Arabidopsis thaliana: one gene and its partners. The protein of the gene in region 2 interacts with the protein of the main gene of each other region in a biochemical or structural test. Each region holds a gene or a part of one and is shown on either strand. Other genes may lie near its edges.

Evidence for each region.
Region 1: the proteins of TOC159 (region 2) and THY-1 interact in a test that uses a peptide from one of them, tested with the Arabidopsis thaliana proteins (one study listed by BioGRID).
Region 3: the proteins of TOC159 (region 2) and PFA-DSP1 form a complex in vitro, tested with the Arabidopsis thaliana proteins (one study listed by BioGRID).

The regions. Positions count from the first base shown.
Region 1 is NC_003071.7:7,080,776-7,087,992, forward strand, and holds THY-1 (thymidylate synthase 1), read right to left. Parts: upstream 4,091-7,217; 5' UTR 3,752-4,090; intron 3,721-3,751; exon of another isoform or gene 3,637-3,720; 5' UTR 3,559-3,636; coding exon 3,137-3,558; intron 3,043-3,136; coding exon 2,661-3,042; intron 2,584-2,660; coding exon 2,539-2,583; intron 2,400-2,538; coding exon 2,334-2,399; intron 2,248-2,333; coding exon 2,186-2,247; intron 2,099-2,185; coding exon 2,024-2,098; intron 1,936-2,023; coding exon 1,770-1,935; coding exon of another isoform or gene 1,725-1,769; exon of another isoform or gene 1,696-1,724; coding exon 1,465-1,695; intron 1,374-1,464; coding exon 1,263-1,373; 3' UTR 988-1,262; downstream 1-987. Other genes in the region: AT2G16380 (Sec14p-like phosphatidylinositol transfer family protein), read left to right, coding at 5,197-5,215, 5,308-5,560, 5,916-6,015, 6,122-6,388, 6,480-6,557, 6,636-6,787, 6,881-6,980, 7,067-7,159. UniProt on the Arabidopsis thaliana protein: Bifunctional enzyme. Involved in de novo dTMP biosynthesis. Key enzyme in folate metabolism.
Region 2 is NC_003075.7:1,102,774-1,112,257, reverse strand, and holds TOC159 (translocon at the outer envelope membrane of chloroplasts 159), read right to left. Parts: upstream 7,693-9,484; 5' UTR 7,493-7,692; coding exon 7,429-7,492; intron 7,346-7,428; coding exon 2,898-7,345; 3' UTR 2,559-2,897; exon of another isoform or gene 2,492-2,558; 3' UTR 2,455-2,491; exon of another isoform or gene 2,283-2,454; 3' UTR 2,121-2,282; intron 1,978-2,120; 3' UTR 1,893-1,977; exon of another isoform or gene 1,593-1,892; 3' UTR 1,586-1,592; coding exon of another isoform or gene 1,146-1,585; intron 1,073-1,145; 3' UTR 1,035-1,072; coding exon of another isoform or gene 986-1,034; 3' UTR 877-985; coding exon of another isoform or gene 727-876; 3' UTR 474-726; downstream 1-473. Other genes in the region: GSTF2 (glutathione S-transferase PHI 2), read left to right, coding at 727-876, 986-1,034, 1,146-1,585; XT2 (UDP-xylosyltransferase 2), read right to left, coding at 8,913-9,287. UniProt on the Arabidopsis thaliana protein: GTPase involved in protein precursor import into chloroplasts. Seems to recognize chloroplast-destined precursor proteins and regulate their presentation to the translocation channel through GTP hydrolysis. Required for chloroplast biogenesis.
Region 3 is NC_003070.9:1,422,335-1,429,856, forward strand, and holds PFA-DSP1 (Phosphotyrosine protein phosphatases superfamily protein), read left to right. Parts: upstream 1-3,204; 5' UTR 3,205-3,325; coding exon 3,326-3,591; intron 3,592-3,681; coding exon 3,682-3,775; intron 3,776-3,900; coding exon 3,901-3,996; coding exon of another isoform or gene 3,997-4,065; exon of another isoform or gene 4,066-5,564; coding exon 5,565-5,622; intron 5,623-5,736; coding exon 5,737-5,780; intron 5,781-5,873; coding exon 5,874-6,059; 3' UTR 6,060-6,535; downstream 6,536-7,522. Other genes in the region: AT1G05005 (PPR containing protein), read left to right, coding at 6,714-6,927, 7,079-7,522. UniProt on the Arabidopsis thaliana protein: Cleaves the beta-phosphate at the 5-position of soluble inositol pyrophosphates.

The sequences.
Region 1 (7,217 bases), on a different chromosome or scaffold from region 2:
CTTATATATTGCTCCACAATTTATCAAAGTCTCGATGTGAGACATATTCTAATAACCCTCATTTATTATCAAAAGAAACTTTTCTTTCAGACACATATAAAAGGCCTTCGGTTTTTGTCCGGAACAAAGAGAGTTTTCAGTTTTCGGTTCGAAATTGGTTTAGCAATCTGTTCAATTTGGCAGAATTTTGAATCATGTTCAGTTAGTTCAGTTCCCCTAACCGAGCGGTTGACCTTTTTTCTAAAACCAAAAACATACCAAATCGATTCGGGTTTATGGGTTTATGGATATCCGGTTTGGTATGTTTTAAACTTCGAGTTTTATGTTTTTCATTTTCGGATTGTTGCTTGCGGTTTACTCTTCAATTACTCTTGTTTGAGAACTTCTATTTGTCATATTTGTATTGTTGTTTGCAGTTTGCTATTTAGGTTTGGAATTTGGATGTTAATGTTCATTTTTTCACTCTGTTTTTTCTTGTGATTTGTCACAAATCATTTGAAACTCGGGTATTTTTCGCTGTAATGGATAATTGTTAACCAATTTTTTCGGGTATTTACCGGTTCTCAAATTGATTACCCAAATCAACCCGAATCCGAATGTACCCGAACCGGATTGGAACCGAAAATTTCATTTTCCCTTATTGGATAGTAAATCTATTACCCATTTAACCCAACCCCGAACGGGTTACCCATATGTTCAGCCCTAGTTTCTACGAAAAAACCGAGAAGTAACTGGCTTGGTCCGGTTAACCAGTTGGTTAACCGAGCTCGCAGGTCTAATATTGTGTAGTATTCGTCAATTGCCGACATAAGGCCACAAGTGTATAGTGTAGTTACTCTGCATTATCCACACCTTTTGTTTGTGTCATCAATCAATTACTTTAAACACAAGCATATGAAATTACAGTTATAGTTGTATACCAATTATAACACCACAACAGTTATAGTATATTAGAAAGATTATTTATGTATCTTGTAGACAAACTTAAAACCAAAAAGAACATAAATTGGCCAAAATCATCAAAGTTCTCATTCGATAGTTGAAATAGGAAACAATATATAAAAGAAGTATAAAATCCTAAATCGCTCTAGAACCATGTGGAACTAGAGGATTCCAACACATGTTTATGACAAGTTATCACCCACAAAAGGGTAATATGAGTCCATACATTGATGGTCATTCATCTGATTCAATCATAAATTTTACACAATCAATTTGTCGGTAGTCTCCTTTTGGTCATATCCTATAGTAAGAGATGAGAACTAAACCGCCATTTTCATTTCTATCTTCTTGTGAGGATCATAGCCTGTGAGGTCAAAGTCAGAAGCCACAAAAGAATCGATTTGTTTCTTCTCCGGGTTTATCTTCATTACCTGCAGTAGTGAGCCCATGACGACAAACAAAAACACGGTAAGGATAGGTGAATATGCATTCCTCGATGATCATTGTCGGCGATATACTTACAGGAAAGGGTTTTGGAAGATTCAGAAGTTGCTCTTGCAGAGGCCTCACGTGAGTTTTGTATACATGAGCATCCCCAAGAACATGGATAAAATCACCAGGAACAAGATCACACACATGAGCCAGCATGCAAGTAAGAAGAGAGTAAGAAGCAATGTTAAACGGCACACCAAGGCCCATATCTGCTGAACGCTGATACATTTGACATGAGAGTTCCCCTTCTGCCACATAAAACTGCAAAAAAAAAAAAAAAGTAATCAAACTCATTGTAGGAGAAACAACAGAATTAGAAGATAAAGTGGCATTACTTGTGCAAACATATGGCATGGAGGAAGTGCCATCAGCTTAAGATCAGAAGGATTCCAAGCTGACATTATAATACGCCGATCATCAGGATTGTTCTTGATTTTGTCAATTACATCTACAAGTTGATCAAATCCTTGACCAGTATAATCAGCATGCATATCTGTGTACCTGTAAAACAAGAGAAAGATGTTTCACCAAAACAAATCCATCGGAACAGAGAAGAAAAAACCAACATATGCATTGAAAAGTTACTGACTTAGCACCAAAGTGTCGCCATTGAAATCCGTATACAGGTCCAAGGTCGCCTTCCTCTCTCTCTGTCAGGCCGATACTGAAAATACGGTGGATAAATCAGCAAATAGGTCGTCAAGATCAATATTTCTTTAACCAAAAAGATAATGCAGGTTACAAATATTACCCATCGAGATACTCTCTTGACGCATTCCCATCCCATATATGGATACCTTTTTCCTGAAGGACCTGCCCATGTATAAAGTCTATCATAGATATAACCAATTCATTTGCATAGTTTTAGAGCATAGCAGAGACACTCTGGCTTAATTTACTTTTGCATTGGTTGAACCGCTTATGAACCATAGAAGTTCCTCAACAACACCTCTCCAGAAAACTCGCTACCAAAAAAAAGCAAACAGATTGCGTGAGTTTGAATATGAGCTAGTGTAGATATGCAACTGCCACTAAATACAACAGAAGACAAAGCATTCTCCTTTTGCGAGTAAACGTGGAAAGTTAAGGAAAAAGTGAGCATACCTTTGTTGTCAGAAGTGGAAAACTTCTGCGTAAATTGAATTTCATCTGTGTTCCAAGGAAATGTGAGATCATTTAACCAACTAGAGATAAACAGAATACATAAAGAAACGGATTTATATCACCTGGCAACCAAATTTTGATAATGTACCAGTCCCGGTCCTATCATTCTTCACATTGCCATTAGAGATAATATCTTCAACCATATTCAAATACAGAAACTCCTCATGCTGATCAAAAACCATCTTAGGAAGAAACAAAAACTTCTTCCCATCAAATTGAAGAGACTGTGACCCATTGCTTTCATCAGAAGATTCATCAGCAGAACTCTTTACACGGACAAAAGTCGTGAAGCAAAACCGAAGTCCATTTTCAGTTACTGGAAACGATGAAGACCAAGGCTGATAAACAGAAGTATCAATCGCAGGTATAAACGTATCACAGTCAACACTTGTATCAATCTCAGTTAAATGGATAGCATCACAACTAGGCCTATTCAATGCTTCCCTACACAAATACAACCAACCAACACTTAGTTCCAACCAACAACAAGATTCCGAATCACCAAAAGGGATAATAAATGAAAATCAACAACCATTACCTCAATATGTCACCACCTCCTATAACAAAAACCCTCTCAATAGATAAACAATACGGCGGCGCAGCTAACAAATCAAGAGCAGAATCTACACTACTACAAGTGACAACATTCTCAGTGTTGGCTATATCAAACCCACCAGAACGAGTTAGAACAACGTTAAGCCGACCCGAAAGCGGCCTATACTTAATGGGAATAGACTCCCAAGTCTTTCTACCCATCACAACAGCATTTTTCTTAGAGGAATCTGAAGTGGTCAAAGTAATGTCTTTAAAGAACTTGAGATCTGTTGGCAAATTCCATGGCAATTTCCCATCTTTACCAATACCCATTTCTTTAGTTGCAGCAACAACAACTTGGTAAGTCCTTTGAGGCTCTGAAGCAAGTGTAGTGGTGACACTGTCATTGAGAGTAGTTGTTGCCATTGTGGAAATCAAAACCTTGGAGATACTTGCAATAGATGATGATGAATTGCGATGGCTAGTACAAAGCCAAAGCAGAGACTGTGAAAATCAAACACAAGAGTCAGATTCATATGAATTAAACTATCCAAAACAATCAAAGAATCGAAATTTGAAACAAATAGCAAAAGGGTATGGAGAAGAGATCAGTACTGACCGATTTAAAGGAGAAAGGAAGAATCTTTGAGGGGTTTGCAAATACCCAAAAGAGATTATCGAAAACCCAGAAGAAAAGTAGGTAAAGGTTACTTTTTTTTTTTTTTTAGTCACGGAGTTGAAAAGGACAGGAAGAGAAGATAAGCGGGGGAGAAAAGAGGGAAACGCCGATTCGTAAAACGCTTAAAGTAGACGGACGTGTCTCTATCAAACTAAAATAGAAGATCGAAAGTAAGGGTCGGGTTTTAAAGGTAAGACCACTATCCGGACACTATCCACTACTGCGAAGTGCGAACCATGGTTTTAGATAGACCAATAGTTATTTCAATCTTTTTTGTTTTGAACATAGATTTCTTTAATTATGTATGTTGAACTTACTAATTAATATGGACTTTCTCATATTTATATGTTACTATTCCCTCTTTTCAAAATAATAGTAGATTTTTGAATGATTTAAGTAAATGACAAGTTTTCGGAGAGAAATTACAGACTAGGCATGTGATTATGGGGTATTCCGCTTTTTCGGGATAGGTAAGTTTGGTTTCTCAAGTATTTCAGAAACTGAAATTTTTACAAAAAATAACCGATTAAATTATCGGTGTAGTTTTTGGTTAATTCGGTTATTAATTTTAAAATCGAAATATTTGGTTATTATATTAAAATTTAGTTAAATTGGGAAGTCTAGTTCAAATCTAAATTGACACGAACCGAAAAGGCACCGAACATAATATAAACCAAAATTCTAAAATACCTAAATAGATCTTCAATCTTTTGAACTAATTATCCAGAATCAAAAGAAACCGATCCAAACCGAACTGATGATAATTTGGTCATGTAAAACCATTGATCCTCAATCTTTTAAACTAATTATCCAGAATCAAAAGAAATCGATCCAAACCGAACTGATGATAATTTCGTCATGTAAAACCATTGTGTAATATGTTTTCTTATGATGATAATTTGGTCATGTAAAATATGTTTTCATCTGTAAAGTGATTAAGATGATAATTTGGTCATGTAAACTATGTTTTCATCTGTAAAGTGGTGGGCTGCACTTAGTCCAAATTGGCGTCATACTCTTTTCTATTAATTATAGCATTTATTGGTACAGATACGAATCGATTTTGATATATTTCAATATTATATCACACACATGTCCATTTCCATATATTAAGAACAAACCAATTGTAAAAAACAAAAAAAAGAACAAAACCACCTTTGGACCTTATCAATAGCTTGTTAAAATGACATTCAAGTACTTTTCTACATGTCTTAATTAGTTTCAGATGATCCTCACCATTACCATCTTTCACCCTTCCTTCCTCTCAAGAACTCATCTCCAATAAGGTAAGGAAAAAAAAACACTGGTTTTGCTTCTCTTTTCCTCAATCTTATTTCTTAAACAATCTTAATCATCTTTTAGGTGTTTCATCAAAAGTCTAAACCATGGCTGACACCAAACAAGGTTATAAGTCAATGCATTTACCTTAACTAGCCATTGATACAATTTTTCCTCTTGCCTAAAATGTTAATGTAAACCAATCATGTGTGGTTTAGATATGGAGAATTCAGAGGATGGAAGGAAGCTAGTGAAGATGAGCTCGCTTAAACAGAAAGCGATAAGCGCATCAAATAGATTCAAGAACTCTTTCAAGAAGAAGACTCGGAGGACCAGCAGCAAAATTGTGTCCGTAGCCAATACAGACGACATCAACGGGGACGATTATCTGTCCGTGGAAGCGTTCCGTCAAGTCCTCGTCCTTGACGACCTTTTGCCCCCCAAACACGATGATCTTCACATGATGCTCAGGTTTTTATATTTTTCTTTAAGATCCCTACTAGGTCAAATGATGTGTTGTGGTATGAAATAAAATATCATGAAGTCAACTAATGGAAAAATTATACCAATCCAAACGAATATTTTATTTGATGAGGAGCTGGTTTAATAGATGACCAAAAATTTGGTTGTCTTAACATTATAACATTTCATTAAATCTTCATATCTTAAAAAAAAAAATTGTTCATCTCTTACAAGCGAATCAATAAATGTTTTACACTTTCATATAAATCCATAATTCATGATGAGTTTACAGCTAAATGTTACTTGTTGTAGATGATTATTGCGATTGTAATATTATGATTTATTATGTTTAATCTCTACATAGATTCTTAAGGGCGAGAAAATTTGACAAAGAGAAAGCAAAGCAAATGTGGAGTGACATGCTTCAATGGAGGATGGATTTCGGAGTCGATACAATCATTGAGGTTAACTTTTTGTCCAAGAATCTTGGAACATCTTAGACTGATCATTTATATATACACAATCTTTGACGAGTGATTTGTTTGGTTTATAATTTTTTTAATAATGAAGGATTTCGAGTTTGAAGAGATCGATCAAGTACTCAAACATTATCCGCAAGGTTACCATGGAGTGGACAAAGAAGGCAGGCCGGTTTACATTGAGAGATTAGGTCAAATCGATGCAAACAAGCTGTTACAAGCGACTACAATGGACCGGTATGAGAAATACCATGTGAAAGAGTTCGAGAAGATGTTTAAGATCAAGTTCCCTTCTTGCTCTGCCGCAGCCAAGAAGCACATTGACCAAAGCACAACCATTTTTGATGTCCAAGGAGTGGTTTGTCACATTTTTCTACCTCAATTCTTCTTTCGAAAATGTATAAATATGAAAAAATGTTTAAAACGATGTGTCATTTTTCAATTACTAGGGGCTTAAGAACTTCAACAAATCCGCGAGAGAGCTGCTTCAGCGCCTTCTCAAGATCGATAATGACAATTACCCTGAGGTAGTTTAACCTCAAAAAGCTTATTACTCGTAGGTATAGTAACAAGTAACAACGTTGTAAATAAATTATTCTTCATAGACTTTGAACAGAATGTTCATCATCAATGCTGGTCCTGGATTCCGGCTCTTGTGGGCTCCAATTAAAAAGTTCCTCGATCCAAAAACGACATCAAAGATTCATGTTCTTGGGAACAAATACCAACCCAAATTGCTCGAAGCCATAGACGCTAGGTAAGATTCTAGTCCTTAACTCAATGATATATCTTGCTTTGTATTATAACTAATTTTATACAAAAATCATCGTAATCTCGTTTTTTGTTTTAGCGAGTTGCCATATTTCTTTGGCGGCCTTTGTACTTGTGCAGACAAAGGTGGCTGTTTGCGATCTGACAAAGGCCCATGGAATGATCCTGAGCTTCTTAAGGTCAACTTTGGAGCTTAAAGCACCTTTTTAATTTAAAAGTTTTTCTGAGCCACTTACCAAATATAAGTGTGTTCTATGGAAAGCAGATAGCTAGGAACCCTGAAGCCAGATTCTCGACAATTTCAGAGGAAGACTACTTGCTTGTAGAAGAAGGAACATCAATGTCGATGGTCTTTGAAGTAAGCTAAGATTATGTTTACACCATGATATCTAATCAAGTACCAACCGCATTCTTTT
Region 2 (9,484 bases):
ATAATCCTTTGAATAATCATCATTCACTTTCTTAACTTCTTTGGTTATTATTTACCTTTATACATTTTGTTCATACTTACTATGCATCAATATCAACAAGGTTGATTTTTCCATCGAATTCCACCACACCAAAAGGAACCAAGAAACCATACCAAAACTTCTTTGGTTATTTATCTGAAACTAATTCAAAAAGATCTGATCAGTAAACCTTTGTTCTATTGAATCTCACATTAAGAGAAACCCTTTTAACTTGAGAAGGCATACAGATATAGAGCATCACAAAATCCCCGAAACAAAACCGAACCAGTCATAACCAAGAAGGGGGAAAGCTACTAGATGAAGCTAGTAGGTGGAAGTTTGAGTCATTTGGCCTATTACTACGCACTAGTTATGATCTTTTCTCTGATACATTGAATACTTTATTAAAAACCATTACATAACCAATGTAAAAGCAAATATTTAAACGTTAAACAGTCCAATTCAGCTTTGAAAAATCCTCCCAGAAGAAGAAGACTAGTCAATATTGGTTGCGATGGCCTTGTAGAGGCATTATTATCTGTTAGATAATATTAAACATTAATGAGAAAGTAGAAATGCTTCTGTATAAATACCTTCATTACTTGTGTCTTATTTCATCACCTTCACCTTCAACATCAAACATCACATTTCTTCCTCTTTTCTCTCTTTTTTCTCAGTCTTCAAAGAGTTTCTTAGTAACCCAAATCAATGGCAGGTATCAAAGTTTTCGGACACCCAGCTTCCATTGCCACCAGGAGAGTCCTCATCGCCCTCCACGAGAAAAACCTCGACTTTGAGCTCGTTCATGTCGAACTCAAAGACGGTGAGCACAAGAAGGAGCCTTTCCTCTCCCGCAACGTAAGTATATCTATATATCTATGTGTTGTTGTAAGACAAGAGACCAACTGTTTTCATGTATCTGGCCTGCATCTCAAATGTTTTGTGTTTGAACTTCTTTCCTCTTCAGCCTTTTGGTCAGGTTCCAGCCTTTGAAGATGGAGACCTCAAGCTCTTCGGTATGAACCTTTTCCATGCATCATCTTCAATCTCAACTCTGAGTTGACAAAAGCCATTAGAGAGCAAAATCACTAATAAGAATTGGATTTTTTTATTTTTATTTTGTGTAGAATCAAGAGCGATTACTCAGTACATAGCTCACCGATATGAAAACCAAGGAACCAACCTTCTCCAAACCGACTCCAAGAACATATCTCAGTACGCAATCATGGCCATTGGAATGCAAGTAGAAGATCACCAGTTCGACCCAGTGGCTTCAAAGCTTGCTTTTGAACAAATATTCAAGTCCATCTACGGCTTGACCACAGACGAAGCCGTTGTTGCAGAAGAGGAGGCTAAGTTAGCCAAGGTCCTTGATGTCTACGAGGCTAGGCTCAAGGAGTTCAAGTATTTGGCTGGTGAAACTTTCACTTTGACTGATCTTCACCACATTCCCGCGATTCAATACCTGCTCGGAACTCCCACCAAGAAGCTCTTCACCGAGCGTCCACGTGTCAATGAGTGGGTGGCTGAAATCACCAAGAGGCCAGCTTCCGAGAAGGTTCAGTGAGAAATTTCTAAAAGGAAAATATGGTTTTGCTTCAGTCACAGTAATAATGCTAAGATTAAATAAGCGGCTTTCTCATTGCCCAATTTCTCAGTACTTTCTTTCTGTTGTATCCTCTGTTTTCTTTCAGTTATGTGAGTGTGTGTGTATGCTCTTGAGAGTATCTTTGGCAAAAACTATTTATCTAATCTTCAAGCTATTCTAAAATAAATCAATTAGTTAACTAATGCAAAGATTGCGATGTCTTAACTATGGAGATACTGACTAGTGAGAATAGTATGTAAGGACTTTAGTCTGGTGGAAATCTTACTTTGGAACGTTTCTCCTGGCGAAAGAAGTTGACTTAAGAAGACTTTGAACGTTCTTATCCTTAAAGTTTCCTTGCTTTGTCATGTCTGAAAATGACAAGTAAAATATAGACGTAAGCTTCAAATCAGACAAAACAAAACACATCAGATTTCTGGACCTATTCACCTCTCTATAAATAACAGAAACGGTTAGAGCAGCAAGTTTGTGTTTTTCACCATCAATTTTGTACCTTGACCGCCGTAAACGCAGGGTGAAGAAAGTCCACCTAGTGTTTATCTCCAACTGTTTGCTCGTCTCATTACTCTGATGACTTTGTGGCTACCCAAAGAATTGCGAGTAAAGCCAGCCATATATTTGCAGACTCTGGTCATCCTTTAAGTTAGAGGCTTTGCTACATCAAATATTCACATAAACCATAAAGATTAAGTCCACCAAGAAATATCCTTTATTCGGAGTTTTGTCTGCTAGTATCATCAAGTTTACTTCACCACGATACTCCAATAGTTTCCAGATATTATATAAGAATGAAAATCTATTACAAAGCATTTTTATAAAAAACATACCATTGCCTTCAAGGGACCAAGGAAGAACAGTAAGATCCTGGTGAAGAACACAATGAGATGAGGGTTCTAGTACAAAATCTTATCAACAGTTACAGGCTACGCACCTGCTTTAAAGATTCTTCACCGAGTGATTTGTATCTTCTGCAGAAATTTAGTAACAAATTAGCAAACTCAAACCAAGCAACATCATTAGCATGAGACGTAGACCAAAAGAAGACTGAACTAGATTCCATTATCTGAAGAACAGCAAGAGAAGCTGAGAAGGGCTAATGAAAGTGAAGAATTACTGATACATGATAAATTAAATCCGATGGGAACCTCTCAACAGAACCAAAATACAACTTTGATAAACTTCAACAAAGTTTTTATTAAAGTGGGGGAAAAACATGAACTAAAAACCAGTAATAAAAGAAAAGATCATTCTGCAGCATTCATCAGCATATTTAGTACATGCTGTACTTGTCGTTCGTCGCTTCGGGTCGAATGCTCTTGTAGATGGACATGGCAATTGGAAGAATGGCTGTGAGAGCGATTTGCAACTGATCCGAGCTGCTGGTTCTGACTGTGATCTGTCCGCTCATCTTGTTGTTAAGTCCTGCACGAAGCGCAATCTTTGAGTTCCTTCCAACAGAGACTTGAGATTGGAGATTGGCTCCAAGGGCTAAATCGCCTCTCCACTTTACCAGAGACAGCCCAAAAGAAGATTGGTCCTGTCCAATTGGGAAATCAGCTTCCCTAAGCCTGACCTCGAGGTTCGCACCATAGGCCGAATCTCCCTGTGATCGCATTGTCCCAGTGCTGCCCACAAGCACCAACCTTTTCCCCAGTGCTATTTGGTCCTCGAGTTTGACCCCAGTGGCGATGTTCTCTCCCAAGAATGTCACTGACCCTCCAACAGTTGTCTTGTTCTTCCTCAAATTCTTGAATTTGGTTTCTCCTCTGACCACATATGCCAGCTGCTTGCCTACATTCTGAATATCGAACCCTGCCATGGTGGATCCATTCTCCCCGTGCTTAGCAGACACAGAGGAGTCCAGATGAATGTTGAACTCTTTCTTGTCCTTGGTGACTTGGACAGTAGCTGTGGCAGGGAACCGGCTAGCTAGAGCAAGACTGTGTTCTGCATTGACGCCGTCATATCCACAGTCATGGTCCCAACCATGGGTATCCAACACTGGCCTGGTTAGGAGTTGTGAAGTGGGTTCCAGATATCGGTATCGGTAAGCTGAGTTATCACTATCAAATGAAGGTGGCAAAACCATATCGGGTAATGGAACTGGCACTGCAGCTGGAGCCCCGTTTTCTGGATCATCTTCTTCTCCCGGATAACCAAACTCACTTTCACCCAGCTTCTTCCCGTTTTTCTTCATTTCTTTCATCCTCTTTAATTCCTCTCTCCATTGCTTCTTCTGCAGGAGCTTTACACGGTAATCATACTCCTCGAAATATGCCTTTCTCTGTTCATTTGAGAGCTTTGCAAGTTGGGTTTTTCGAAGAGGCTTAAATGGTGGCAGCTGGTCATACTCATCATCTTCCCCATCTTCCTGCTCAGAATCAGACACATCATCAATTTCGATATCAGAGTCAACACTATCACCACCTTGGTCTCCAGGGAGCTTAGGATGTGCACGGGACTGCAACAGCCAAGACAACAAGTAAGGGAGAGGCGGGGATCTAACTCGGAAACCAAATACTTTACGATGGTCCAATGGTTCTTGAGGCCTCAATAGAGAATTTGTTTCTGACAAAACCTTCAGGGAGTAACACAATAGCAACAGCTGAGATCTCCAAGTTTGGCCATTCGGGAGAACCTTCACTCCCTCCCGGTTCTTCCTACACAAGGGGTGATTCTCAACAAGTGAAACTGGATTCATCAGACTTGGATTCATCAAGCGTAGATCTCCAACAGCCTGTCCTATAGACTGTTGCACAATATGTGAGCACTGCGCTACAAACACATCATAGCTCAATGGGGTGCCAGATGGGCCATCAGGAGGGGCAGAAGCCGCATGGGTCAATGTCACTATAGCGTTTTTCCATATGGATGTACCAAGAGAAGCAGTAATCGTCCTTAGCAAGGGCAAATTGTTCAAGTCCCTGGTCTGGGTGTCAAGACGATCTACATATAGTACAATATCAGGGGGACACTTCTTCATTACCTTCTTTACAGAGGACAACATTTTTGCATTTGTACTTTGATCCATCGCAGCAGACTTCAAACCCGGAGTATCAATAAAGGTAATCTTGACACCATTCACCGTTCCAGAAATTTCTCTAACCGAAGTGGTTGAGAGCCCAAAAGCATCAATGGACGCAATCTGGTTTCCCAAAATGGAATTTATAGTAGCACTTTTTCCCACCCCGGCTTTTCCAAGGACCAGTATGTTTAGGGAGAAGATCAATTCTTCGTTGCCCTCAGCCTCAGACTCCACAGCCTTCTTCTTTGCAGCATCAAGACTGAATAACTGCCCTGCTTGTCTCCCAGCAAGTAGTGCAAGACGGTAAAGAACCTGCGCTGCAATTGAATCTTCTGCCGAATGACCCAACCTTTGCAAAAGCCGCAAAAACTTCACACGGAGGCTTTGCAACTTTTCTAATTTCTGTTTCTCTTCCTCGCTCAAGTTAATCTCAGTCTCATCTGCCATTGTGACATTAGAATTGGAAAAGATGTTGGAACGGTTTGCACGTGGAGCTGCTGCAGGCTTCAAGGGCCTTAACGATGAACTCAAACCAGCAGGTCGATCCATAGAGAAAAGCTTCGTGCCATCCTGAGATGTTATGGTAAAATTGCCACCTTCTGAACTTCCACCACCAGTGGCTGCCTTCAAAAGCGCAGCCAAAGCTGCAGTATCAAACATTTTCTCCTCACCTTCATCCTCTGTGTCTACATCCTCGTCAGAATCGGTGACAATCTGGCCATCAATCCTATCTGACATATTGTTAGAAATGTTTGCTTCATCAGAATGTGCCTCTATACCAGAAGAAGCCTTTTCCAACTCTGCTAAGAACTGTTTTGCAGCTTCAGAACTCCCAAATATCATCTCTTCAGTTTCTTCTTCACTTTCAGACCCATCAACCCTGGTAACACCTTCGCCAGAAGGTTCCTGGTCCACTTCCTTGCCTCCAAAGCTAAACTCACGAGAAGAAACAATGTCTTCGACTGGGAGCTTGTTTTCATCCTCTTCAGCACTGTCCCCTTCGACAACTTTCCGAACCTCAAACTGTGACTCAGCTGCAGGAATTGAATCCTCTTCTGCATCAACTGAACCCACTTTTAAACTTTCAGAAACAGGCAATTCTTCTACTTCCACACCTACTTTTGGTTCGTCTGGCTCTACTTTGGCAGCCTCTGATATTTCCTTAACAGCCAATTCAAAATTTCCATCATATGCAGCAGTCAGGTCATCAGGTTCCTCAATATTTGAGATGGTCTTGTCAACCTCATCATCTTTATCATCTTCCTTAATTACAGCCTCCTTAGCCGCCCCGACAACCACAACCCCTGGCTCTGCAACATTGATATCAGCATCAACAGAGTCCACCACAGAGGAGTCAACCATAGAGTCTCCTTCACTAACCAACTTTCCTCCTCCCTCCTCTGTGGCTTTATCGGATTCAAGTTCAACTTCACCACCTTCACCTTGGCCAATTGGATCAAACTTATTATGCACATCAGGGATGTTGCCATCAGTTTCCAGCACCTCACTCACCTCTACGTCTCCAACAACAACAACCCCTGGCTTTGCCACATCTACATTCACAGCTTCAATAGCAGATGAGTCCACCACAAAGTCTCCTTTGTTGTTTAACTTAACACCTTCTTCTGCATCATCGACTATGCCACCGAGCACACTCTCCTCCTCTTTGGTTCCATTGTCAGCTACTGCACTAGCTGCCTTGATTACTTCAGCATAAGTCATACCCTTCTCCAATCCGTTGGCTTTTTCCACATCCTTTGGTTCACTCCCACTCTCGGCAGCTACAACCTCTGGCTCTACAGCACTGGTATCCACAGATTCTAACTTAGAGGAGTCTGCAATAGAGTCTGATTCGCTAGTAAATTTTTCTTCTACCTCCTCAATGGCCTTGTCAGACACAGGTTCAAATTCACCACTATCATCATCCCCAATTTGATCAAACTTATTAGCCACTTCAAGAGTTTCAGCATCAGCATTAATCTTCAACTCCTCACTTCCCTCTGCGTCTCCTACAACAACCACCCCTGGTTTTGCCACATCAACATGCACTGATTCTACAGGGGACGAGTTCACAATGACGTCTCCTTTATCAGTTAACTCCACACCCTCTTCTTCAATAACATTATCACTTTTATCGTCAACATCAACTTTTCCACCCAACTCACTCTCCCCCTCATCATCTTTTTTTGTTCCAACATCTTCTTCTTCCACATCCTTCACTTTACTCTCACTCTCCCCATCTGTGGAAGCCTGTTTCACATCAACATCAACACTCCCATTTTCAATCTTACTCTCACCATCGTCTTTAATATCCTCCACGTCCTCCTTAACCTTCTTATTCTCCTCCACAACCCCTACACCATCAGAAACAGCCTCCGGCTTCGGAGATAACGATGAAACATCATCTACACCAATTGTCTCACCAGAAACCACCTCAGGCTTCGGAGTAGCCTCAGGAGTAGTAGAATCCTCCTTTAAAGAACCATCCACCTCGTCGGAAACCTTCCCATCACCCACCAAATTCGGCTTCTCCTTCTCGGAGTCAGATAAATCATCAGCTCCAACCTTATCCGAATTACCAGACACAGCCTCCGATGAGGAATCCAACTCCTTGGCACTACTCACAGCACCACCATCCTCCTTATCGGCGGCTGCAGCAGCAGCGGCGGCGACAACAGAAGCATAGGTTTTTCCTGATAACAAAATATCCTTCCGATTAAAACCCTATTCCCAAAAACGCAGATTAAAGAAGATATAAACGAGAAAGAAGAAAAACCTGATTGCCCCGAAGAAGCGTAGAAGGGGTTGGTTGGTTCTGGAGTAACCGACTTTGAGTCCATTTCCGCTTTGCTACTGAGACTCTTTCTCCGCCAAACTTGTGGAGGAAGGAGATAGCGATAGATAGATAGGGTTTAAAGGAATTTACCCTTTTTTGTGTGAAGGTTTTTATGATTGAGAATTTGGCTGCTCTCTCTCTTTTGAAGAAGAGAGAATTGGGAGAGATAAGGTCACTCGGCGAACAAAAAATGACTCTTCGTTTTTCTTCTTTGCCTTGGGATTTTATCTTCTCAGTTTGTGTTTTGAGGATGATGATGAAATTACCGAATTACCCTCGCTTCTATGTTGGTGAAGTTTCCAAGAGGGCTCTCTTTTGTGCTACGCTTTAAACTGTGTCGCTTCATTGGCTCAAGCCAAAATATATAGAGTTTCTTTTTTTATTTGAGGAAGAAGTACAATAATCATTTGTGGTTAAAATTTGAAAAACATTGTATCATTTTAAAAAACAGTAATTTTTTTGTCAAGAATTTTCAATTTTTGTTGAGTAAATTTAGAATATTTTAGTCACTTTTTGGAAAGTATTTACTGTTTAATATTTTGTTTTTATTATGCACAATTCTCCAAATGTTAAAATCTTCCCCAATGGAAAATGTTTTGATGGGCTCACTAAATCTAGGGTTTTTGAACTCATGAGAATTAGGGTTTTGTTATATCTTCTCTTTACTAAAAACCAAAAAAACCACACAACAACAAAATAAAATAAAACATTTAAAATAAAAAACGAGATAACATTTTGAGATTTGGGTTTTATAAAGAAGAAAGAAATCTTTTTTGTATCTTTGTTGATCCTCCCTACCCGAAATTGCTTGGCCACAAACGATTTTCTCACCATTATCTACGAATTATCTTGGATTTTTGTATAACACGGATTCCATATATTAGGCCGTGATTTTAGTTTTCAGATGGGCTTTTATAAGGCCTCCCCCTAATAATAGCCCGTATACATGATTTTATTATCAATTAAAGACATTCAGATTTCAGATACAACAACCCATACTGCAAAAGAATCTGACCACATGCCAAATTTTGTTTTTCGAATTAAACTCCTAAACTACACAAAACTTGTGAATATGATCTCAGAACTATACTAACTCAATGTGATTTTTTCACATTTTGCATACTAAAAGTAAATAATTAGTTGAATGTGAAATCAGGTTAAAAAAAAGTTCTTGAATTAACACAGATTATTGATCCATGAAGCTACAAAATCTCAAGTTCTAATGGATTACAAAGAACAAAAAGGAAGAAAAACAACATTTTGATTTCGTAATAGAACTCTAGACGTAGAGACAAAGTAAAACCAAAGAATTAACTGATGTCTCTGCACAATACTTTATCATCCATCTTAGTACAACAACAAGCAAAGACACAAGACATAAATATAGCGAGAAACATAACACAAATCCTAAACGCAAAACCGATTCAAACTTGATTGGTTTGTACCTTAACCGCCTTAAACGCCGGATGAAGCAACCCGAGCTCGTCTTTCATCTCCAACGGATTGCTAGTCTCGTTCCGCACTCTCTTGACTTTACGACTAGCCAAAGATTTGTGAGTGAAACCATAGATTTGCAGAATCTGGTTATCTCCAAAGTTAAAGGCTCTGTCCATTTGTTTTAGACACCGTTCCACCGGGTAATCACCAAATTTCCCACACGGTTTGCAACCGACAAAGTGAGTCACCAATGGCCATCTGTGATCTCCTAGACCCGGGTGGTAGTTTTCTATCATTTCTTCATATCTGTCCACAAGAATCCCCCAGTAACCGTGAAGATAGTATCCACTTTCTAGGTACACCTATAACAACAATGCAGTGGCTCAAATGAGTAGCTCAACAAAATCCAAACCAAGCAAAGATTTGAGTTTACTTCAATAATAGACCCTTACACAGATGTCAGAAACCACAAGATGCAACTCACATTGTCATTTTTGATGATCAAGAGACATGATAAACCACAAAAAGCAACTCACATTGTTATTTTTGATGTTCAAGA
Region 3 (7,522 bases), on a different chromosome or scaffold from region 2:
CACCTATGTTCTTTTCCGTGATTTTGACGCTTTTCTCTTCTACTGGTTTGACCGTTCCAAATACTTTTTATTACACGTCAACAACATATTAAACAAAAAAAAGTAAAATGGATTCGGCTTTTTGTTATTTTTCTTTTGACTCTCCCCTTTAATTAGTTTCCTATGACTTCAAGTTTCCGTCTCCTACTAGATTAAGGTAATGTATGTGGAAAGGGTTTTTATAAAGTATGAATTTTGGACTCTGTATAAAAATGGAATTCCTGTGATTTTAAAATGAAATTAGAGTTATGTACATGCGCATTGATGGTGTATTTCCCTATTAGCCCTAAGAACGATCGTTCGTTAATTATACAATTAATCATTTATTGTTGAAGAGACAGAAACAACATCCAAGAGAGAGTCCAAAGGACGGATCCATTACAAAGACATGTGCAAGAGATTTTCTTAGTCTCGTACTCCTTTCGGTCGGTTTCTCCAACAAATGGGCCTTGGCAACAGGTAAAATAATACTATTGGGTCTGTTTTGTAAAATCTTACGTTTTCTGAAATGGAGGATGTTGATACCTTTACAATGGGCCTAAGGTCCCATAAATTGGGCTTTAAAGGGCCTCTTTTTGATACTTCCTTTTTTCATTTTATGTCTTGATGTTCGAAATCTTCTATGTAAACAAATTTTTTTTGGTTTTAATGTCAAGAGAATATGTGTGTGTGAACAATTTATAATGACCATGTTACATTTTCGTCTCGTATGTTTAAAATTCTTGTTTTTATTTGAAGTTTTCACATAATTATTTGAGGGAAATATTAAATGATCTTTTTGCAACTCTAATAAAACGTTAGTAAGTGGCATGCTAAATATATAAATGATAATACACCAAGAAAATTGAAAGTGAGCTAAATATATCATTCCTAACAAATAGTTGATAAATTCTCAAGTTGATATATTGTACTAGATATTAGTCATAAATAGAACCTAACTATGAACCAATAATAGGTCTACAAATGTGGGGCCAGAGACAAGAGAAGAAGTCACGACTTTGAATCTTGATGATCATGGATGAATGGATATCATGCATGAAAAAATTAAAATTTCTATGATATGGAAAAACGACAATAATGGACGAAATCTTTGTACGTCAAAATCGGAGACTTAGATCGTTAGATGCATGCAACTAATTAACAACTCCAATAACTTCAATTGAAAATGTGCGTATACTCACTCTCATGAACGGTCTTCTCGTATTGTTAATTCACTGTAATCCTTTTGCGTTTTGATACGCAACTTCGGAATGGGCAACGGTATAGCGAGGCTTACGTATGCTTTGGAAAAACATTAATTCATATATTAATGTTTTATATTCCGTGAGAAAATTTCAATGTTTTGGAAAATTAGAACAAATTAGAACAAATTCTCGAAAGATAAATTGAAGGCATTATGATATTTTCGTACGTTCTTTTTACGGAAAGTTCTTTAACGGCATCCAAAACGCTTTCGTACGTGGCCGAGTGCTCGCGGCGCAATAATCCTTGAGAATCATAAGGTATATTCCCTGGAATGTACCTTTTTTGTTTTTCTTATAAAAAAACTATCTGGTGCATTTTGTTTTTATGGAGTAATTTATCCAATTAAAGTCCAGTGTGGGACACTAAACATTACAAATTTTATGTCTTTAGCTTAGTTATCATCTGTTTTTTTTTAATTAGAAAAGAGTAGTTTTCTGGTGTGAGTGTTATGTGGAAGACAAATATGTGACGTGGATTCTAATAATGTATTGTCGTGATGTGGTTCTTTTTGCATTATTTCGTTTTGATTATGTAATAGACATATATTTAAATGGTGCGATTATGCACCGAAGAAAAACATTCGTCTCCATTTTTCTTTATACGAAATTTGACCCCAAAAAAAAGGTAAAACACGGCGTCCGTGTTATTATGTAGTATCATGTATGACAGAAATGGCAACTACAGTAGATAGTTTGGACCGAATTTTATTTTCACACAATTAAATAGTTATTTCAAGGCAGTAACAAATTGGTGGAAAAAAAAAAAAAAAAGGCAGTAACAAATATTAAAACCGAATATTGGCTAAAATTATACATTTCAAAACAATATTATGAAATTGTTTAACAAAACAAAATGTGAAAGGAACATAGAAGTAATTAATGTACTCAGATTACGATCCCATAGAACTTAAATAAAGGTGCGTTTATGAATGCCAGATGACTCAGATTAGTGATTGTTCTTCCCACTTAGCAGAGTAATTGCTCTTTGTCCTTTGGAATCTCTCTCTCTCTTTTTATTTCTCTGTGTTTCGCTTGGAATCTATATTTTCGCTATTTCCTGGAATGATGATATATATGTATGTTAGTATGTAGTAGTCAATATTTTTGTATATTGTGAATAAGTGACTTTTTCAAGGTAAATATAGGTCAGAAACTTCAAATTCAAAATATTAAATATTATAATATTGGTGAAAATATATAGTCAAAAAATGATTTTAGGTTCGGTTGATAATTTATTCAATGAGAGTGATTTACCCGAATAAGATGATTGTGTGTGAGCAAAAAGATTCCACAATGATGCCAATTTAAGCTTCAACAAGTGCTTTCCTATTAACAAGAACAATTTATGTAATATCATTTTTTTCGTTTGTTTTGCAAAACTGCAAAGTCATTTTATTTTGTTTACTTTAATAATCCTTGAAAATGTTATAACAGTTATTTCCTCAAATTAGACCATCATACTATTATTATTGTTATTATCAACCGTTGATAAAAATGGTAGTAGCATGTACAACTAAGATAGACCGTTACAAAATTCGTGTATTGTTAATTATTATATAGTTTCCGTATGTTGCTGTTTTCAGCTCAACTTGAGTAAATATAAAATATTAAACTGTTTATTCTAATATTGGATTCTTTTGTGTAGTGGCAACTTATTTTTTTCTAAGCTTTTTTTTTTTACAGATTACGGATTTCAGTATGAAATTGTAGATCCAATCAACTATTTTCACATATGCTAAAAGGTATCTAAAAAGTAAAAACACTTAACAGATTATAAACAAAAAAGCTTTTAAGATAAATGTCACAAATTCTTTAAAAATAAACAAATAAACAGCTATTGACAAACAAAAAATAAAAATAAAAAAGGAGTCCTTGCTGGGTCCATCTCCTTTGCGTTCTTTTTCGTCTGTTGAATTTTGAACAGAGTCACAAGTCTCTCTCCATATAAACCTCCCCAAGGTCGACGCTACGTAACGACCATCTCCATTACTCGACTCTCCTCACCTAAAGATTCAACCTTTTCTCTGTTTCCCAATTCAGAGATGAAGCTTGTGGAGAAGACGACTACTACAGAGCAGGACAATGGAGAAGATTTCTGCCGCACCATCATCGAGGTTTCCGAGGTTAACAGAAACGTGTTTCAGGCTCCGGGCGGTGAAGCTGATCCCTTTCGAGTTGTCTCCGGCGAAGAACTTCACCTAATTCCGCCGCTCAACTTCTCCATGGTCGATAACGGTATATTCCGGTCTGGATTCCCTGATTCAGCTAACTTCTCCTTTCTCCAGACTCTCGGTCTCCGCTCAATCATGTAAAAGCTCCTTCCACATTCATGACATTTTGTATACTATATATCAAACTTTCGAAATTGCTGATTTTAGGTTTTTTCGAATTTGTGAAGATACTTGTGCCCGGAGCCCTACCCAGAGAGCAATCTCCAGTTCCTTAAATCCAATGGAATCAGGCTTTTCCAGTTTGGTATTGAAGGCAACAAGGTAACCATCTTTCTTCTCCTCTCTCTTCATCAAGTCTCCGTTTTTAATTGCTCTGTAATTCTAAACCTTACTTGGATAGTTCACTAGGAGAATTCTCTGAATGGAAAAATCATATCTTGCTGCAGTGTGTTCCTGACTTAGACAACGAGATTTCCTTGCATTTATGGAATTCTAAGCATCAGAAACAGGGTCCCTTAACTAATGGACTTTCGAAAACTTTGGTACACACTACATATATTAACTGGAACACGATACTATTTCTGGAATATATCATAGTTCATTCAATTTGAAGGGTTTTATTTGCTTGATATTTATTGCCTAATTGTTCTTGAAAATCCTGTCTCATTGTTGTTTACTTTAGACTACTAAAACTGTTTCTGTGTTTTCTTTCTCTTGAATTTGATCCTTCATGGGCACTCTGTTCCAAGCCATATTTTATTATTATGAGTTTACCAGAAAAAGAACACATCTTTCTTTATTGTTTTGCCTCTTTGGCTCTTTCCGTCTCTCTTGACCTCCACTGATTTGGTCCCACTCTTTGTTTTTCTGCCCCTTCAGCAACTATTCCCCACTTGTTCTTTCTACTCTCTATTTATAAAATTAGATTATGGACTACGTCAAAATATTTGCTGAGCTACTTGTTGCTAGTGTTGTCAATGATCCCACTACTCAATAGCTTACTTTCTGTTGTTATTGTTTTCTTGGTTCATGTTTATTGAGTGTGCACTTTTTTATACAGATATGATATCTTATGAAATCATACATCAGCGAAAGTGTTTTTGATTGTGTACAAGTAAACCGTTTTTTATGGTAAAAACTTGTAGAAAGCGTGTTGATCGTGAAAGTGTCCATATTAGCTGTAAGGTTTGAAATCTAGATAAGGTTAGGAATTGCTGGGAAAATGATAGATGGTTACGTTGTAAGTCGGTTAATGTTGTTTAATACGTACCTTTAGTTCCTTTCCTTTTCTATGTGTTAGTGGCTCATGTTTGGGCAAATCGTTGGTAAAGTGATAGAATAACCAAAAACTTCACCATAGAGTCTTGAACTTATTACCCTCATGAGTTACCATTCGCCTTTCCTGAAGAGATGGGTATGAATCTAATTTGAGTTGATATGTTTGAAAGAAAATATGTTTGTTCTGGTATGCAGTAGCTATCATTCTCTCCCCCCACAGAATCCACCTTTTCCCTGTCGATTCTACTCCTAGGATAGTCGATTCTTTATGTGGGGAGTCGTTTAGATACTTACTACCATAGTTCCCTAGTTTTGCTTTTACACTAAAGATGAAAATAAAGTGGCTTTCTCTTCTTGGTGTAGTGATTTTATTGGAAGAATCTGGATCTCATTGACTTTTGTTTTTGTTTCTGGACTCAGATTCTTTATAATTAGTGTGACAACTTCGATCTTGATAGGAAACCTTTATCGCTGATATTCTTGGCTTGCTATGCTTTTTTCTTCTCATAGATTCGTCTTTCAATGGGACTTTGTGTTTATTCCGTGTTGTTGTTGTTGTGTGTGGAGATAACTTTTTGATATAAAAAAGTAAAGAATCTTTCTCTCAGTACGCAACCAGTAAAAGGTATCACATTAGACATGCTTCATAACTTGTAGACTTTGTCCTGTTAATGAACCTTTGCATGGTTGTCTCTCTCGACGTTGCTTGTGCATGAACCTTGATTATTAGATTGCTTTATCTTTTCCTAATCTGCTCAATTTAGTAGTGTGATTGATCTTTTGACATATAATCTTACAATTTTAAAAAGACATTTTTTCTTCTTATTTTCAGGAGCCATTTGTGAATATTCCAGACCATAAAATCCGCATGGCACTGAAAGTGCTTCTAGGTAACTATGAATCATATAGAAGCGCTGAAATAAAAGAACACATGTAACCACACTTTTTGTATGCTTTCTAATTCTAACTTGGTTTATTAACAACTCTCCTTTTAAAATCCTCAGATGAGAAAAACCATCCTGTTCTGATTCATTGTAAGCGAGGCAAGGTAAATCATTCACTCCAATCCTAAACATTTCATCTTTTGTCTCCACCACTGAAGAAGAAAATGAGTTTCTAAGTATGAATCTGGAATTTGCAGCATCGGACCGGTTGTCTTGTTGGTTGCTTGAGGAAGCTCCAGAAATGGTGTTTGACATCGATATTCGACGAGTACCAACGATTTGCAGCAGCGAAAGCTAGAGTTTCAGATCAAAGATTCATGGAGATATTCGATGTTTCCAGCTTCAGTCATATTCCAATGTCATTCTCTTGTTCCATCAGGTAAACAGGGGAAGCTAAAATCTTCAGATAAAAAGGAGAGATTAATCATATTAGAGTTCCAGAGGAAACATTCTTCTCTTTCTTTACCTTTCTCTGGAATCAATAATACTATTTCGAGAAAAGAAAAGGTTTTCGTTGTTATAATGACTTCACTCTGTTTTTTTACTGCTCAGTGTAAGCATAAAGGTAGATAATTACGTATATATATAAAGTAAACTATACAGGAGTTTGTTTAGGAATATATGTATTTTCTTGGGTTATCCCGAATGTTGCTTAACGATTATTAGCTCATATATTTCAATTCTTCAGAACATGATTTGTTATTATCGTGTGTAGAGGAAAATGCTACTACCATCAGTGTGTAAATAATTTGTTCAATGTAATGCTAAACCGAAATATATGGACTAATTTGATTTACTGACCAATCATTAACATAACTCTATAACTTCTTTTTTGAATCAGTTACGGAATTAATCATTATTTTTATTAGTTGAAAAAGACATGCTAGATGTGTGAAGAGTTTGTTAAGTCACGAATATGAAACCTAACTAAGGCCAGTACCAATTTTTAGCTATAAGTGAGTGATAGTTGTCCTTATAGGTCACGAATACGAAACACTCTACTGGAGTGTTGTTAATCATTTACTTTAATAAAAAGCATGACACCGATTCTTCAACAACATGCAAAGCGCATTCTTGCTTGCGGCTACAAGAGTTCTTTGTTCCGTTCCTATGCAACCTTATGGTCACCCGAGGCTAGCCAAACTCTGCTTATTCGGGTCAAAGCGTCTTTGCAGCAACATGAGAAACAATTGTACACCAGAGGGCTCATAAGAATCTTCGAGATTCGGATCGATTTTCTCAAAAACGCGAGTTTTTTTTATTTCTTCTAAATCCTGATCTTCAACCTATGTACCAATTTGTGGTTTCTTACATATTATGTGCTCTTGGTTGTGGTATTATTAGGCATCAAGATATATGGGTAAAGAAAAGGTGTGTACTCTGTTTCAGAAAGATTATGCAGCTCGGCTTTATCTGATTGAGACACTGTTGGGTTTAGAAGAAGCAGACAAGTTCTTCAAAAGTATCCCTTCAAACATGATTGATTACTCCACGCTCTTAACCTCTTACGCGAGATCTGACGATGTGAAACCCGACAATGTCACTGCAAACACTGTTTTGAAGGCCGATGTAAAGGCGATAAAGATGTTTATGAGAATGTGGGTTGATGAAGAAGGAATCAAACTGGAGAGAGACAGGATAGTTGAAATGGCAAAGGTTTACGTTAGAGTTTGTTTAGAGATATATGGTAACGTGGTATGGAATGCAAGAGAGTTGCTGCAAACTCTTTGGGATGACTTTAAGAAGTGCGAAGAGGTGTATCGAACAGCGGTTATCTCTTTGTCGAAACTGGATGATGTTGAAGGTGCAGAGGATATATATGGAGAGGGGGAAAAAAAAGAACAGA